Drosophila melanogaster: one gene and its partners. The protein of the gene in region 1 interacts with the protein of each later gene in a pairwise test. Each region holds a gene or a part of one and is shown in the gene's direction. Other genes may lie near its edges. The genes, in order: TwdlJ, Ama, Ets97D and trn.

The links.
Region 2: the proteins of TwdlJ (region 1) and Ama interact in a two-hybrid assay, tested with the Drosophila melanogaster proteins (one large-scale study listed by BioGRID).
Region 3: the proteins of TwdlJ (region 1) and Ets97D interact in a two-hybrid assay, tested with the Drosophila melanogaster proteins (one large-scale study listed by BioGRID).
Region 4: the proteins of TwdlJ (region 1) and trn interact in a two-hybrid assay, tested with the Drosophila melanogaster proteins (one large-scale study listed by BioGRID).

Annotation. Positions count from the first base shown.
Region 1 is NT_033777.3:26,628,142-26,631,367, forward strand, and holds TwdlJ (TweedleJ), read left to right. Parts: upstream 1-1,776; 5' UTR 1,777-1,814; coding exon 1,815-2,639; 3' UTR 2,640-2,684; downstream 2,685-3,226. Other genes in the region: TwdlK (TweedleK), read right to left, coding at 1-566.
Region 2 is NT_033777.3:6,760,695-6,765,774, forward strand, and holds Ama (amalgam), read left to right. Parts: upstream 1-1,898; 5' UTR 1,899-2,285; coding exon 2,286-2,302; intron 2,303-2,485; exon of another isoform or gene 2,486-2,822; intron 2,823-3,138; coding exon 3,139-4,147; 3' UTR 4,148-4,567; downstream 4,568-5,080.
Region 3 is NT_033777.3:26,910,245-26,914,415, reverse strand, and holds Ets97D (Ets at 97D), read left to right. Parts: upstream 1-1,529; 5' UTR 1,530-1,655; coding exon 1,656-1,719; intron 1,720-1,796; coding exon 1,797-1,911; intron 1,912-1,972; coding exon 1,973-2,042; intron 2,043-2,097; coding exon 2,098-2,812; intron 2,813-2,873; coding exon 2,874-3,304; coding exon of another isoform or gene 3,305-3,364; 3' UTR 3,365-3,641; downstream 3,642-4,171. Other genes in the region: T48 (transcript 48), read right to left, coding at 3,949-4,171.
Region 4 is NT_037436.4:13,112,530-13,118,633, forward strand, and holds trn (tartan), read left to right. Parts: upstream 1-1,741; 5' UTR 1,742-2,217; intron 2,218-2,659; 5' UTR 2,660-2,768; coding exon 2,769-4,982; coding exon of another isoform or gene 4,983-5,024; 3' UTR 5,025-5,548; downstream 5,549-6,104.

The DNA of each region.
Region 1 (3,226 bases):
GCGTTGGCAGCATCCTCGGGAGTGCGGTACTTGACGAAGTGCACCTCGGGCTTGTTGTTGTTGTTGTTGCGGATGGAGTTCAGCTTGTTGGCCAGATCACCGATATCAGCCTGCTTGTTCAGGACATAGATGGCGGTCTCCTGCTGGGCAGCCTGCTTGGCCAGAGCCAGAGCGGCATCCTCCAGACCGCTGTTCTCGGGTCCCTTGATGAAGACCACGCGGAGTCCCTTGTTCACGGCGTTGGCAACACGGTCGGAAGCAGATGGGTCGTAGAAGTCACCCTCGTCGGCGGTGTAAGTGAAGAATTCCTTCTCGAGTTGGGCCTGAGGAGCAGCGTAGTTGGGAGCAGCAGCAGATTGAGATCCTTCCAGGGCATCAGCAATGGATGAGGGACCGGGGGCAAAGGATGCACTAGGAGCAGGCGCGAAAGCGGGTGCATCGCTGCTGGCCGATCCAGATGGCTGGAAGCTCAATCCGGAGGGAGAGTGGGCCACCGGTTGGTAATTGTAGCCAAGTTTATCGGCCGTGGCCAAGGCAATAAAGCAAAGGACGACGAAGGAACGCATGTTGACTGTTTGGATGGCAAAGATGATTGGTTACTGACTTATCGAGTCGAAATTTTGGCTTTTATAGGTGCAATATTCAGTTCTTCGGCTGCAGTATGGTGCGATATGAATTATGAACAGCTCAAATTTGCCTTAAAAATGCATAAATAAGAGATTAAAATGTTAAATTTATAATATAATTTTATGATTCGTCACACTGCTGCTGCGGTTGCAAATTTTTGCATGGCTTTGTTTTTACTGGCTCTGCGGAAAGCGGCATGCAAATTATGAGCTAACCAGAATTGGCCAGTGAGGAGGTTCATAGTCCGACTCGGATTGCCAAATCAGATGGCGCCAAGTAATTTATTAAGAGACCAATTATCGAATTATCTGATTTGGCGCTGACAAGGCGCAGTGGTGCAGTTTTTAATTGGCAACCGGCCTAGGCGATCAGAAACCATGTATATATATTAAGTAAAGATGGCTGCTATATTTAGCGATGAGTTCGATTCTTCACTTCCGGCGGATGGAAGGTCGCCTCCACCCGCAACATTAGCATAAAGCAGCTAAACACAGCGACCAAGACGACAAGACAAAGCCGCTGAATAAGGCAATAATAATTTGGCGAATCGTTAAAATATTTATTTTTGGCAGCGGTAACGCGACTAGGCGCGCCTCATTTGCATGTGAAACGGCCTGTCAAACGTTTTGTTTGCTCTCCGGCCGATTTAGGTGACACTTCTCATCCCGGGCGAACTGGGAATGGGTTTGGATTTGTGATACACATGTGATACATGAGTAACAAGGCATCCATCTAAATAGCCCCAAATGAGGTTTACGATGCTCTTGATGCTCTGTCCGCGGCTTTTTATAGCCAGATTTTATTGATTTCAACGATAAAGCTACATGAAAATACCAAAATGGCAAGGTTGGCCCACAACACTGGCCAAAAGCGGCGCCGAAGAATACGCGAATTATTGATTAAGGCAGCATATTGAATTTAATATGAATTTTATGGCGCCAGCTCCGGCTCATACATGGCCCGTACCTCTTCCTTCTGAGTTTCTACGTTGACCTCATGATGCAGCCACCCGCTTCGCTTGCATATTTTAGCGGGGTGGTACCGGTACTGCCTGATCTAGTTGGCTAAGACCGTAATTAGACCGCTTTATGCAGAGCGTTTTGCATAGCAGTGGCTTTCATCTGCATAAAAGCGAAAGAACCATCTCACACCATCATCAAATCCCACAACCACCTCACCCGCTCAACATGCGTCAGTTCTCCGTAGTTCTTTGCCTGTGCCTCGCCGTTTTGGCCAGAGCCGATAAACTCGGCTACAATTACCAACCGGTGGCCCACTCTCCCTCCGGATTGAGCTTCCAGCCATCTGGATCGGCCAGTAGCGATGCACCCGCTTTCGCGCCTGCACCCAGTGAATCCTTTGGCCCCGGTCCCTCATCCATTGCTGATGCCCTGGAAGGATCTCAATCCGCTGCTGCCCCCAACTACGCTGCTCCTCAGGCCCAACTCGAAAAGGAGTTCTTCACTTACACCGCCGACGAGGGTGACTTCTACGACCCAGCTGCCTCCGACCGTGTTGCCAACGCCGTGAACAAGGGACTCCGCGTGGTCTTCATCAAGGGACCCGAGAACCGCGGTCTGGAGGATGCCGCTCTGGCTCTGGCCAAGCAGGCTGCCCAGCAGGAGACCGCCATCTATGTCCTGAACAAGCAGGCTGACATTGGAGATCTGGCCAACAAGCTGAACTCCATCCGCAACAACAACAACAACAAGCCCGAGGTGCACTTCGTCAAGTACCGCACTCCCGAGGATGCTGCCAACGCCCAGAGTGCAATTCAGGGTCAGTACGATCAGTTGGGAGGATCTTCGCAAGCTCAAGATGGTGGAGTGGCATCCACCCTGAACTTCGCTTCCCAGCCCGCTCCTGTTCAGGCTGCCAGCAGCCAAGCGCCCGCCCAGTTCCTGCCCGCCTCCCAGCCCGAGGCTACTGCACCCATCTCCTCGTATGTGCCACCTGCCACCCCAGGTAGCTCCTACTTGCCCGCCAACATCCTGCGCCGCCTGCGTTTCTAAGTTCCTGGCATTTCCTTTGTTATTGTTGAGATTATAATACGAAATAAATTTGTTTAATAATATAAATTTTTAAGTTGTTGTTACTCTTTTTGAGAGCTATTGATATAAATGGTATAATCAGCTATTTTGAGGATTAAAAATACGTAATAAGATAGTCTGGATGCTCCTGAAATTCCCGACATTCTTGTGCTATTGTTTAGATTTGAAGACCTAATAAAATTGTTTTAAAATGTAAATTATTAGGTTGGCTTGCGGATCTTCGCGGCCAACATTCCTAGGCATATTATCAGCCAGAATTAAATTTCCGAGGCACAACATTTTCGCACTCGGCGGCTGGCAAACAAGTTCGACTTGCGTTGAATTATGAGTCCGTCCGGCTAAGCTGTTTGTGAAAATTGCAAATGAGCGGAAACCTAAGATGTTTTCTCTGGCATCGCTTTGAATAATCTGCTTCGTGTTAATCTGTATAATCTGGTGTATAACATATGGCTTATCGGCTACTTGGCTGCCCATGCCTACCTACGCACTTCGCGGTTCGAAATTGAGATGGCACTCGGTTTGACAAATTGCACGAGACATCGGGCGAC
Region 2 (5,080 bases), about 20 Mb from region 1:
GGAGTGCAGCCAAAAGGCAAACAAAATACGTTCGCATAGGCAAAGCCCAAGGATACACACAAAGGTACAGTGGTTGCTCTGACTACAAATACAAATTAAACAGGGCCAGAGCTTTAATACCAATTCGATACCATTGCAACAACAGCATTTCAAATGCTACTTTTTTATATCAGATAAAGATAGGTAGAAAAGGCTATATTTACGTTAAAGGCAAGCTGATATTTTAGAAATTTATTCAAAAACAAAATTAATTACTTTGACACATAATATTGTATTTAGTCATCTGACTAGAAACTAGAAATCTCTGAATGTAACGAAGTTCTGTGCATTCTTACAAATATTACAAAAAGTATCTGCTAGATACCACTGTGCGGAACTGGGCCACAAATTCAGACGCAGTGTGTGACAAAGGACTTCTCCCTTCCCCGCTCGGCGACCCTGAATGCTGAATGCCCCCGTGTGTGCCGCTGCTGAAGCGAAACACCCAAAGAGTCACTGACAGAAACAGGATTCGGGTAATAAATTACAAAATTTGACATTTTCTGTTTTGGATCCGCTTGCGCCTGAATGCGAGCGGCAGCCCTCTCTGTCGCACGCCGTCTAGCCGTCTCTTTCGTTCGGTTTCGGTGTGTGTCCAGTTCGGTCGGGCCAAGTCGAGCGTTGCATGAAGCAGCCGGACCTGCCAGGACCTGGACCAGGACCTGAACCTGCATCCAAGAGGCATCGCCGCAATGGTCATAATGACGCTGCCGGGATGCAGCTGAGGACAAGGAGAGCCGTCAGTGGGCAGCGAGAAAGGGACGGAATAGAAGCGCCCTATGCGGTCCGTTGATAGTTAACTGGAAATTTATTATTTTACACAATTTACAATTATCTGATTCGAATGTGCACTCAGCGACGAGGATTCCGGCAGATGGGCAGTACGAGTGAGAGTGCGGGGGTCCAAGTTCGGACGACAGATGCAGTTGTCCTCCCATGGGAACGGCCTCATTTCAGCAGAAGTCACCGAAACGATTTAAGATGTGATTTAATTTTCCAGAAACTGTGGCCATAGTTTCGTCGCTCTTCGGGGGAATTTCTTCGCCAGACAGACAGCGTCGTCATCAATCATCTCGCAGAGTAAAGCCGGGTTAACCTCGATGGGTTTTAGGGGGAAACTTGGCCCGGGGCTGATCAGGAATCAGGCTGGAAATATGAAAATTAAATGCGTTTGGGCAGCAGAAAGTTTTCGAATGGTTCGGTGCTTATACAACAAGTGAAATTTTGCACATCAAACGGCCTTTGACCACATTTAATCCTTAAATCATCTGCCATAGGAACTAATTGATCGAGATCCAGACACATATTAAACACATCAATATATATACACAAATATAATCAATATAGACTATGTTATATTTCGACGTTTCCTATCCTCGTATGCTGTGAGTACACATATTAACCTTCAGCCGTGTAAAGAAATTTCTACGAACAGCCAAGTTAAAGGTACCCAAATTTCCCGAATACTGCTCTTTAAATATCCTTCAGAATTTCCCAGCATGGCTGAACCAGGACTCGATTCAAGTTCCACCCAATGCCTTGTACACCACCCCGTTGTTTTTGCCTTTTCGCGCATGCGCCCCTGCTCCGGCGCAAAAGAGACAGCACTAATGAGACGGCGCTGGGATCGCTGGCATTTCCAGAGCGGCTAGGATATTCCAGGGACCGCTCGTAATCGTTGCTGTTGTTGTTAGCCGCCAGCGGAAAGTAGTGCGCCATGCCATAAATCACACAAATGGGTAGAGTTCCAACTTTCCCACCCCGCCGCTGCTCCTTTTATTGTCCTTCCACGAACCCCGAAACGTTTATGGCCAAATGGCGGCACGAATTTGAATTTGAATTTCGCACGCGGTCTCTCAGTTCGCCTGCGGCCGCTTTCGCTGGCGCTTTGTTTTTGCAACTGACCGCTTATCTTGGGGCGGGGGCTGTCAAGTGGGCGGGGCAGGAGGGCCACAGGCAGAGGCATAAACAACAGCAGCGAGCAGCAAAACAAATCAATTAAAGACCAGAAGGAAAGTGCATTGATAACTGAGCCCGAAGTCAAACTCACGCACAAGTAAACAATTTAAATACGAACTAAAATGCAAACACAGATACAAAATACAGATAGAGATACTGAACAAACACAGATACAAATACTGTGAAGGCGACAATGTACATAACCGAGGGGTGATAAGATCCAAAACGTCGATGACTTCTTCATCGGCAAATACACTGAAAAAAGCTGTTACTAATTATTAAAAAATATGCAATATAATAAAAGGTAAACTATTTTTTTTACTAAATTTTAAACTATTTACTAAACACTGCCATTTAAAATCTTTTTTCACATCCTTAACTACAAAAAAATTAATTTTAAATCAAATTGATTTCGTTTACCTGGCTATTCATTAAAAAAAAAAATAAGTATTGATATATCGGAAAACTAAGTTATCTCCGTTTTTACCAGTGTATCCATTAAGAAGCAACGTTGTCTAGACACAGCCGCGGTAATCAATCATAATGGTGTCTATCTGCTTCATTCTCGCGGTGTACAAATTTCGGGACTTTCCTTGAGAAACCGAGCCATCGACGTCGGCGCGTCAGGAAGAATACAAAAATAAGAACCCGATTCTCAGAACCTCAGCAGAGATACGGATTTTTGAGCCGAGCTCGGTCGCCTCTTTCAATTCAGTCGAGTCCCGAACGCGAAGTGAAGCGCATTGAACCCACATTGAACTGAGAGATAGTCGAGGAAAAAGAGTCACAAAATCAACAGCAACATCCTGTAAATAAACAGAAATGTATGAATTATATTAAAATAAGACGATAAAGCTGAAAAGTGTGTACAAGCCTTATAAATGTTTCAAAACGAGTGTGTGTGCAGAATTCTTTCCTTCTTATTTACTTTTGAAAGATACTTTTAAAGATATACTTGTGACCTTTAAATTATTATTCTATAATTGAACCTAGTTTTAGTTTATTATATTGAATTCGAAGATGGGTTAAAAATGGCAGTTCTCCATTACATACGAAATATTTAGAATGGCTAACGCGATCAAAAGACTCAACATAAAGTGATACACTAATAAATCTCAAATCTATTTTGATTTCTTACAGACCAGACATGGCGCGTCTGCGGCTTCTAATCGGTCTTATATTCTGCCTTGCGATCAGCTTGGATTCGGTGCTTAGTGCCCCAGTGATCAGCCAGATCAGCAAGGACGTGGTGGCCAGTGTGGGCGACTCTGTGGAGTTCAACTGCACCGTGGAGGAGGTGGGACAGCTCTCGGTGAGCTGGGCCAAGCGTCCCAGCGAGTCGGACACCAACTCGGTGGTGCTCTCCATGCGGAATATCCTCAGTCTGCCCGACCAGCGGTACAACGTAACGGTCACCGAAGGACCCAAGACCGGAAGTGCCATTTACACCTTCCGCATTCAGAACATCGAAGTCAGTGACATGGGTCCGTACGAGTGTCAGGTGCTTGTTTCGGCCACGGAGAAGGTGACCAAGAAGCTGAGCCTGCAGATCAAGACCCCGCCGGTGATTGCGGAGAACACCCCCAAGAGCACCCTGGTGACAGAGGGACAGAATCTGGAGCTGACCTGCCATGCCAATGGCTTTCCCAAGCCTACGATCTCCTGGGCCCGCGAGCATAATGCAGTGATGCCTGCCGGTGGCCATTTGCTGGCCGAACCAACTCTCCGGATTCGTTCCGTGCACCGGATGGATCGCGGCGGCTACTACTGCATCGCGCAGAACGGAGAGGGCCAGCCGGACAAGAGGTTGATCCGGGTCGAAGTGGAGTTCCGTCCGCAGATTGCCGTCCAGAGGCCCAAGATCGCCCAAATGGTGTCCCATTCCGCGGAGCTGGAGTGCTCCGTGCAGGGCTACCCGGCTCCGACTGTAGTTTGGCACAAGAATGGCGTGCCCCTGCAGTCTAGCCGGCACCACGAGGTGGCCAACACCGCCTCCTCCTCGGGAACCACAACCTCTGTGCTGCGCATCGATAGCGTGGGCGAGGAGGACTTTGGGGACTACTACTGCAATGCCACCAATAAGCTGGGACACGCCGATGCGCGACTGCATCTCTTCCAGACCGTCATCCCAGTGCCCTCCTTGTCGTAATAAGCCCTCAACGTCTGATTTCCATTCCCACGCAACAAGACTGGAACCCTCACTTTCTCCTCTCGTCTCGCTTTTTCGGCAATTCGCCAGTCCGGATGCGGTCTGTGTTTATATTATTAATGATTCATTCAATTAGCTCCCATTCAGACTTCATTATTTTCGGACACACTTGAGATCGAGCCACCGCTTGTGCCTTATGAATTTTGCTCTGCATCCGTCGGCTTGTGCAAACACACATTAATATGCTTAAGTAAATAACGTTCTCTGATAAAGTTTAATCGGTCTTTTCCTATGTGGTTGGGTTGGCTTGTATACGGTGTAAGTTAAATACCATGAGAGAATAAACACCTCTTGAAGCAACGAATTAAAGGGTTTGTCATTCAATAAAACTAAGCCAGGAGACAAGGCATTGTCAAAAGTATTTCATTGTTTTATCGAGAGGGAATCTAAAAATATATGGTAAGTGCAGATATAAATGAAAAATTAATCACTTCTAAACAACACCCAATGCTCCATGGATCTTATTAATTTATAACAATAAACAATTCAAACTTTACACTTTAAAAGCCACAGTTTCGTTAGAATGATGGCTAGAACATCCAAATCTTTTAAAAATCCATTAACTTTTTTGGATGCCACTTTCCAAACCCTAAATAACAGATCTTTCAAGATCTTCTTCCTTAAAGCTGCCATCTGAGTCCGCAAGGTCCCACCTTGACACCAAAAACAGCATGTAACCTCCATTCTGAGCTGGTATTCCAACGGTTAACGCTGCCGAAGTCATTTGCCAAAAAGTTAACCGAGCCCGCTCAAAGTGCCACAGCGTTTAACTCTTCAATCATGGTTAAAAAATGGCAGTCAGTTGTTCACCTCTTGACGTAAACACTCACATGGTCAAAATGCGGAGTGGGTTGTGTGGCGAAAAGTGAACCC
Region 3 (4,171 bases), 280 kb from region 1:
AATGACTGCGCATAGTTTTATGTACGCTAACGGTTTTGAGTGAGTTTTCCACGTTGTCATTGGGCTGGTTTCGTTCATCTGTTTGTTGCCCCATTGCAGCTGGGTGTCATGACCTAGACAATTTTCGGTCTGCATAGATTTCTATCTGCCAGAAGGTCAATGCGGCGTATACTTAACGTGCAATGAGATAAGTCCTCATTAGCATATAATGAGTAATAAGGGTTTGTGTGGTGAGAAAGAAAGATAGAAATTTCACTACCACTCACATCTAATAATATCCAAATGAGACGACTTTGACAATGACTCAACTTCAAATGGCTGGAAAGTACGCAAAATGAAACCAAAAAAAAAACTGACCTGAAGCGCCTGAATTTGACCAGCTGGCTAATATTAGTCAACAGCTTGGCAAGTAAACAAAGCAGAGTTAGTCCCCAAATAAAACAAAATCCGCACTCTGGCTTGTTAGTTTCCCTCGTTTTCGGACACGAAACGGAAAGGGGAAAATGAAGTTGCAAGGTTGCACAATATGGGGATGATGATGTGCCAGAACATTCGTGGCAGACATTGAATCACTTATAGCTAATACCGAAATCAAAATCAAACATTGTCATCAGCAAGATATTCGCAAGCAAATATCGTTCATCTACTATGCCAACTGAGTCAACAGCATGAGGTAATGCTCCCAACTCCGGACTATTCAGGCCGGGAGCCGTCTTTGTCCATATCTCGGTACATGGTACATGGAAAAACGCTTGTGTTAACAAGTACTCTGTGCACTTGAGGCTGTCCTCTGCTCCATAGCACAATTGGCATTCATTGTCCCGCCGTTTTGACCCACTGATCGTGTTACGGGGCATTTAATCAGCATTAGCTGAAAATGAGCAGCACTTGGCCACTTCACTTGCCTGTGGGAACACCCAAGTGCTTCCTAGTCAGGCCGACGCACAAACATGGCCAATTGTGTCGGCCAATTGAGTCTTGCAGCGAAAGAAAGTGGCGAAAAGATATCGCATGAAGAGCAAACCACTCAACCACAAGTGGGTGTCTTAAGCATCGACTTGTTGTTGCGAATTGAATTCCTCAATTAATTTCGATGGCATTTCTAGGAAATCACTTGAGGGGGCGAGCACACATTTTGTCACCAGATTGCTAATTTTTATAGATCGTTAGGCTCAAAATATTAATAGCTGGTGATGAAAGAAATTTTTGATCAATGAATTTCCACACAGGAAAAGGGAACTTGAAAATAGTTCAAAACTGGCAAAATATTTGCCAGTAAAAACTATAACAAAATCATGTATTCTTTTAAAACTAAATAACAATTGATGTTTTTCTTTAAATATATATGATGCTATTAAGTTTTTTCATCATTAAAGCAAATATTGTATTTCAGACTTGCTAACTTACATTCATATTTACATTTTTTCGAAACTTTTATCACTTTTAAAAGAACCGCCAGAGTTTTGAAATCTGATAGAATTGGTGGCAATACTGGCCAGTGACTATGCAGCCCTGTACCAACGCCACTTAGTATTATTCGGTATTGCCACACCCGACGTACACGGTCACACTGAAGATGCAACAATAAATCCACGAGACAAATTTGTTAAAAACATTTTGTTAATATAGGCAGTTATTTGCGATTTTAAGCCGCGATGAACAGCAGCAATGACTTGTCGGACGAGCTAATACGCCGCCTCAGCGTTGGCGGTGCCCTGGGTAAGTGGAATGATGCCATTTCCCAATTGGGACGCACCTGTTGTTACACCGAATTATTAATTGTAAACAATTTGCAGAAGAAGTGATTGCCAGCGAAATGTTCGAGGATAGCATCGATGTGGAGACGGAGGCGGAGCCGGACGACATCATCATCGTGCACATGGACATCCGGGAGCCGCTCAGCATGCTCAAGTGAGTCTGGCGAAGACTGGCCCCCATTAGTCATGCAAATAACCCTCATTTCTACCCACAGATCACTTGTTGAGCAAAAGATAGGAGTGTGCCTGAATTACTACACGTTTTGGCTGCAGGACGCGCAGGAGGTGAGTCTATCTGCGGCGTAATAAAATGTTTACCTAAGCCCCCACTCTCCTGCAGCTGGAATCGCACAAGAATCTCGTGGACCAATGCGTCAAGGGAGAAGGCCTGGTCCAGATCAACGTGCAGATACAAACTATTCGCAAGCGCATTAACATCGCCGACGTCCTGAAGCCCACGGAGGCCGCACTGGCTGCCTTGGCCGAGGAGGTGGTGGGCCAGCTCTCGCCGCCGGAAACGGCCAGCCAGAAGAGTTCCTCCAGCGAAAGCCCCATCAAAACCCCACTCAAGCGCATGCACAAGGAAGACTCCGAAGAGGAATCCGTCGAGGGCAAGGATGTCAAGCCAGTCTTGAATTGGGTCCTGGACAGCAAGTTTAAGCGAGAACAAATACGCCTGAAGATACCCGAGGCGGCCAACGAATGGACACACGCACACGTGACGTACTGGCTGGAGTGGGCCGTCAAGCAGTTCGAACTAGTTGGCATCAACATGAGCGACTGGCAAATGAATGGCCAGGAACTCTGCGCAATGACGCACGAGGAATTCAATCAGAAGCTGCCCCGTGATCCAGGCAACATCTTCTGGACCCACCTCCAGCTGCTAAAAGAATGTAATTTCGTGTCCGTAGTGCACAAACGAGCGGAGGAGCAGCGTAAGCCCAAGCAACCAAGAATCATGTCGGCCAATTCCATATCGACCAATTCAGGGGGCAGCCTTTCGCTTGAACAGCGGATTATGCGGAAATCCTATCAGTCAGTCAAGAGCTCTGATTGTAAGTAGACGTGTGAATGTTACACCAAAGCATGAGCTAACAATATCTACTTCGTTCACAGCCGTTGAAAGTACTACGTCATCCATGAATCCATCAAACTACACTACCATCGGTTCCGGGAATAATGGACAAGTGCAGCTATGGCAGTTCCTACTCGAAATACTCACCGACTGCGAGCACACGGACGTTATTGAGTGGGTGGGCACCGAGGGAGAATTTAAGCTCACTGACCCGGATCGAGTGGCACGCCTTTGGGGCGAGAAGAAAAACAAACCCGCTATGAACTACGAAAAGCTATCAAGGGCTCTCCGCTACTATTACGATGGGGATATGATCTCCAAGGTGTCCGGCAAGCGATTCGCATACAAATTTGACTGCGATTTGAAGCTATTGATCGGCTATGATGCGAATGAGCTATCCACGCTGGTCAGCGAGGGGAAAACGGCGCCCGAGCGCGTAGCCGCAACGGAAACAATTACAGAAGACACGTGACATGGCGAGCTGAAGCTCAAGGAGGAACCCGACATACTCTGGAAGTACGAGGAGCCTTAGCGTTGGCTGACTTGGTCGGATGACGGCGCCTGGTTAATAATACAAATTGTTACATATTTTACAATCCTAAGGCACACGATTTTATTATCCATTTCGTATTCGCTAAGGTTTATAATCTCTGTCTACATAAGCTATAGCTATAAGTATCGCGTTTATACTGCTAATCATCTTAGTTATTATCTGAATAGTATTTCTATAGTGTGTATATTGAATATTGTTCGTTACATGATTGTTGCGATTTTTGTAAAATCCATAAAACTAAATTCATTTCCACGCGATTTCCATTTGCATTTGCATTAGCTCCTTCTCCTCGGCATCGTTGTGTGTTGATGGTTTTGTTTGTGATTTTACGTGACTAGTTTGCTTGCTTAACTGATCTAACTAAGCTCTAAGCGTGGGCATTTAGCGGCTCCGGCTAAACGGCCTCCCAGTTAGCTTGTCGAAGTCGATGATGGCCTGTCGGAATGTGCACGCAAATGCTCCATTCCCCCAGCTGAACTGGCGCTAGACTCGAACGGCTAGCGCCGCCAGCCGGGGTAATACTTAGTTTGCATTAAGTTTTGAGTATGAGTTTTGTGATGCGGTTACAGCTCCGTGGTGATCTCGTCCTGCGGTCGAAAGCCCAGCTTGTAGAACTCGTCCTCCAGCCACAGCGAGCTGGCGTTGAGATCAGAGATGAGATTGCCGCTCTTCAGCGTGTTGAAACTGCTGCCGAAAGGATCCGAAGCCCGCGGCTCCTCGAACTCGTGCAGGCTGATCAGCGAGCCAAACAGGTGTAGCTTCTGCTGCGCCGAGGCACTGCTGCTC
Region 4 (6,104 bases), on another chromosome or scaffold:
ACGCAGTCTTTACCTATGTAGAGCACTTTGGCAGTTTACAAGCCAAAGATACTTTTCTTACAAGCCGCTGTTATGGCAATTTGTTTGCATTTCCTGCATTTGTATTCAAGTTTATTATTATACTTCGCCAAAGCCTTTCTCTAAGAAGTCAGCAAAACTGTTTAATTTCTTGAAACAGATCTTTAAAGGCCTGCAATTTTATGAATGTTTCATCAAAGAGCAAATGTAAGGTTTTAGTATGAGAACCAATAGTTGGTTTATTATTCAAAATAGGTTGTGTACCCCATTTAATAATGTAGAAATTGAACCAACAATTTAATTTAGATTTCAGTTCAGCAAAAGAGTAGAAACGAAAAAAATGTTTGCCAACAAAGTTAGGCAAATCAAATTTTTTTACTTTAAATAAATTGTAAAGACGAGTTTTGAAATACATGTTTAAAGGCTAAATTTATCTCTCTTGGCAACGAAAATTTTCCAAAACTACTTCTGTCATAAATTATGTATATGTATTTATTTTCTCTCAAAGGCAACAAATCAAATTCATAAAATCCTATGGTCAAGCAACTATTAACAGTTGCCTTGGCTTTCAATACGCAAAGATGCCTCAAATTTGGGTAATATGGTATAAATTTAACAAGTTTACTTATTGGTTAGTTTATGAAAGATACAGAAAAGCAGTCGAAAAAGATTTGCATCTCGGTACGATAAATAAATTTTGTGTGCGAAATTCTCGGAGACGGAAATATGCCAGTTATGTCGGTGGGGCAGGGGGGCTTGGCTGTGGAAAATGTGGAGGAAAACCGCATGCCGTAAGGCCCGGAAAATGTGCCCCACCCCGGTCCCCTCTGATCCAGCAACATATGTTGGCACAAAGTTATGGCCATTTAAAGTTGATTTTCTTGTTGTCACAGTTGTTTTTTTCCCGTTCTTTTTTTTGTGATTTTGCCGAGTTGTAAATAGTTGTTTGCTCTGCATGCCAAGAATGAGAAATGCATCTCAAATGTATCAGATGACACAATATTTTTTGAGAAATACTCGAGTGCAACACTTTCGTGTCCTCGAGATACAAACTCGCAGATACAAAAATATCAATTTCAAGTGCGTCACATTTGGACTGTAAACCGCACTAAAAGGCTCCACTTAGGCCAGGACATGTCTGCGGCCCATAAATATCCATCTAGCTCCTATTCTGCGTAGGACTATGTACTTTTTATGGGGTCTTAATTATGCCACAGCACTTGGGCTGTTTTAGTTTTCTCTTCAGTTTTGTTTTTTTTTTACTTTTTTCGTTGACTATTTCAGTTCTAGTTTTAGGTTTTATGGGCGACAGCATTTCGTCGAGGACGTGCGGCTCGTTCAACGTGTGAGTTGCAATTGTCGGAGAGCGAGCCTGGATATATGGGGCACGTATAGCCAGATAAATGAGTGGAAACTTCGAGTGAAACTCGCCACACTGAGTTCTCCATCGAGAGAGACAACTAGAGATACATTTGTATCCGACACTCACAACCAGTTCCGACTACCTGCTGGCGGGTTTATCTGAGAGAACTCGCCTTCGCAAGGCCGTCTCGCCTCAGCCACGCCGCTCTTTTTACCCATGTCCGATGCAGCTGCCAGCCACCACCACCACCACCACCATCTCATACCGCTCAAACGGCTCTGTTACCGCTCTGTACCGCTCAACCACCCCGGCAAAAGTGGCCAGCCGAGGTATCGTTTGTGCAGCAGGCACTTCGTAAAATCAGTGTAGTTCGTTGCCTCGTCGTGAGCGGTTGTCTGCCAGCTATAGAGACCCAATTGCGACCAAGTTCCTCTCTCTTACCAGAGTTGGTAACACGAAATACGTAAATTCAAACGGAAACCCGTCGAACGCCTAACAACAACTTGAAGCGTGCAGTCAAAGCGAACCATTGGATTATCGCGCACGTTTCACAAACAATCAGCAAACAAAAAAAAAAAAAACGAAACAAGCAATACAACAAACCAAAATTTTAATTTTGAACAACACACATGTTTTAGTTGAGCAAATGTGACAAAACAAAAAATTGGCTATTCAAAATATTTTTCCAAAAGTGAAACAGTGAAAACGCAAACACATCACAAAATACAAACAAAAACCGAAACACTGCATTTTGCATTTTATGTTCTGTTCACCAACGATTTAATCTGCTGAAAACTAAAAATTGTTGCCAAGCAATCATCAAAGAAAAACATTAGGTAAGTTTCACTTGTGGCATACAATGTGCATTTTATAAAAGTGCTGAAAAAGTGGAATATTGTGGAAATTAGAATACCGGAAGAAAAGTTTCAACAAAATAAAGTTAGGCTGCCAGAAAATATAAAATACGAAAAATATAATTGGAACATTTTAATTTTGTTCAGTTAAATTACTGACTTTAAATATTTATTGAGTTTGAAATTTCTAAAATGAGAATTTATTAGGACCGAAACATTAGCAACTTAATATAGATTTTTCCAACACCAAATCTAAAAATATATCCAATATGAAATACTTGTGAAAACATAAAAATGTTTGCTTCAAGAACCCTGTAAATTTTAATCAATAGAAATAGTTCCACGAAAATAGGCTAATTAACCGAACTCACAGAAAAGACAGAAACTAATTTTGAAAATTTTTCCCTCGTTTGTCTACCCGCAGCACTATGGAAAACTGAAAAAATCAACAGAAACTCTGAAAGAATTGAAACAGCAGCACAGAGCGAAGCAAACCGAAAGACAGAAATCAAAAGAGAATCAGAGATCCCAAGATGCAGCGAAACATGATGATCGCCTTCGTGGGCATCTGGTGCATTTTGGCCAGCATTGGTGTGGAGCCTGCGGCGGGCTTGGCCAATTGCCCGCCCGGCTGTCAGTGCGATGATAATACCCTGGTGGTACAATGTGGCGAGGGCCAGCTGGACGTGCTGCCCATTGCTCTGAATCCATCCATCCAGCGACTGGTGATTAAGAGCAACAAGATCAAGACCATCGACTCGTCCATCCAGTTCTACGCGGAGCTGACCTTCCTCGATCTGTCCTCGAATCACCTGATGACCATTCCGCAGCGCACCTTCGCCTATCAGAAGAAGCTGCAGGAGGTGCATCTGAATCACAACAAGATTGGGCAGATCAGCAATAAGACCTTCATTGGTCTGTCGGCAGTTACTGTTCTGAATCTGCGTGGTAACCAAATCTCGGAACTTCACCAGGGCACCTTTACTCCTCTCCTGAAGATCGAGGAGCTGAATCTGGGCGAGAATCGCATCGGCTATCTGGATCCCAAGGCTTTCGATGGACTCTCCCAGTTGCGCATCCTTTATCTGGATGATAATGCCTTGACCACCGTTCCCGATCCCGTGATCTTCCAAGCCATGCCCAGTCTGGCTGAGCTGTTCCTTGGAATGAACACCCTGCAGAGCATTCAGGCTGATGCCTTCCAGGACCTGAAAGGACTTACTCGCCTGGAACTCAAGGGTGCCAGTCTACGCAACATCTCCCACGACAGCTTCCTCGGCTTGCAGGAGTTGCGCATTCTTGATCTTTCCGATAATCGTCTGGATCGCATTCCCTCCGTGGGTCTCAGCAAGCTGGTTCGTCTGGAGCAGCTGTCCCTGGGTCAAAACGATTTCGAGGTGATCAGCGAAGGCGCATTCATGGGCCTGAAGCAACTTAAACGCCTGGAGGTGAATGGAGCTCTTAGGCTGAAGCGTGTGATGACCGGAGCCTTCAGCGACAATGGTAACCTGGAGTATCTGAATCTATCGTCCAACAAAATGCTTTTGGAGGTTCAAGAAGGTGCCCTCAGTGGGCTGTCCCAATTGAAGCATGTTGTTCTCAAGGCCAATGCGCTGACTTCCTTGGCAGAAGGTCTGTTCCCGTGGAAGGATCTTCAGACTCTGGACCTTTCCGAAAATCCCTTGTCCTGCGACTGCCGTGTGATGTGGCTGCACAATCTGCTGGTGGCCAAGAATGCCAGTCAGGATGATGTCTCCGAACTGCTGTGTGAGTTCCCCGAACGTCTGCGCGGTGAATCCTTGCGCCATTTGAATCCTGCTATGATGGGATGCACACATGCCGATCCTCGCAAGCAGGCCTTGATTGGAGCTCTCCTGGTGGGATCTGCTGCCACGATTACCGCCTTGGCTTTGGTTCTGTACCGCTGCCGTCATAAGATCCGCGAAACCATCAAGGGCGGTCTGTGGGGTAACTCGGCTCTGGGCCGTAAGGAACGGGAATACCAGAAGACCTTCTGCGACGAGGACTACATGTCGCGCCATCAGCATCATCCCTGCTCCCTGGGCATCCACTCCACGTTCCCCAACACCTATACCGCACCTCATCATCCCGGAGCTACCCATCACTATGGAATGTGCCCGATGCCTGTCAATGACCTGGGCGCCATCGATCCCCAGCAGAAGTTCCAACAGTTGGTAGTGCCCACCGCCACAATGATCAGTGAGAAGAAGCTGAATAACAACAAGGCCCTGGTTTCACAGGGAGCCATCGACGACAGTGCCTCATTTGTGCTGCACATGAAGTCGGCCACCATGGGTCGGGATGTGCATCAGCAGAATCCCCAGCTGAACCACTATACCAAGCCGCAGTTCCTCTCGGCCACGGCTACAGTTGGTGATTCCTGCTACTCATACGCGGATGTGCCCATGGTGCATGGCGCCCCGTTGGGTGGACCGAATCAGCCGCAACTGCGACTGACCCAAGAGCACTTCAAGCAGCGTGAGCTATACGATCAGGAGATGGGCAGCGAGATCCTGGACCACAACTACATCTACAGCAATACCCACTACTCGATGCCGTTGGAGCAACTGGGTCGCAGCAAGACGCCCACGCCGCCACCGATGCCACCAGCTTTGCCCCTGCGGAATGGACTGTGTGCCACCACAGGACGCAGATCCTTCCAGCAGAAGTCCGCCTCTCAGAAGCAGCAGCAGAACAACAACACCCTGCGTCAGTTCACGCACTGATCCTCGACCTATCGACGCAGGCAGCTGAGCATCTATGCTTAGTAGTCCGCTGCCCAACACTGTGATGCCAAAACCCCCAAGAAGCCCACTAAAACCACTCACTCCCCTCCAGACACAATTAGCGTGTAGTTAGGCGTAAGGAAAACATTGTAGTAGCTGTAATCGAAATACAACCTAGGCATTAAGTCAGAGAAAATCTTGCCTTGTACATACTTAACTTTAAAGCACTCTTTCGAACCTATAGAACACTGAAGGATCTCCAATTCTATCAGCACTTTGCCAACACTACTGTTTTCCTCGTCCCCCTCCGAACATAAGTTAATCGTAGTCTTTAAGATGAATTGTAAATGATATACGAGTTTAGATAAAGACAACAAGCACTGAGAGTCAACGTAAGCTTAATTTTAACTTATTTAATTTATTGTTAAATGCAAAATCGTATCAGATGCAAACAACTATTTATGTATTAGTTAGAACAAGAAATTTATGCAAATTTAAGCGACAAAACAAAATATCAAACGAAAACAGAAAATATACGCAATGAAAACAAAACTCATTTGAAAACTAAAAAATACAACTGTGTGTGTTCATTCTGCTCTTAATTTAGCAGATTTTCCTTTCAGCCAGCATACTGCCGTGGAAATTTGCCTTTAATTATACATTTTCCCTGTGCACCGGCAACTTTTCCTCTGTGTCAATTTGTCTCGACATTTTCACTTTTTTTTCCACGAGCTCAAAACTTTTGACTTTCAATTCAATTAAAAGTAAGTTGAGGGCTTGCATACCGTGCTCGGGGGAATAAAAAATGCAGTAAAATTAATATACTATTATTCAATAGTAACAAGCTTGAAAACTTTTGCAGACCCGACTCAAGCAGAGCGTGGCAAGTGGGGAAGAGGTATAATTTTCAATTCAATGTGCATGGAAACACATGTGTAACTACTACCATATACAAATATATATGTATAAGTGTATATATGGGTACAGCCACCCCTTCATTGTCACCTGCAATGCAGCTGCCACCTGGCGGACCAGAAAGTTGCCAACTCACCGTCGAAGTTTGCCCCTGGGAACCCTCAAGAACCCTATTTTTCGTTGGTTTTCTCTTTTCGCTCAATTTCA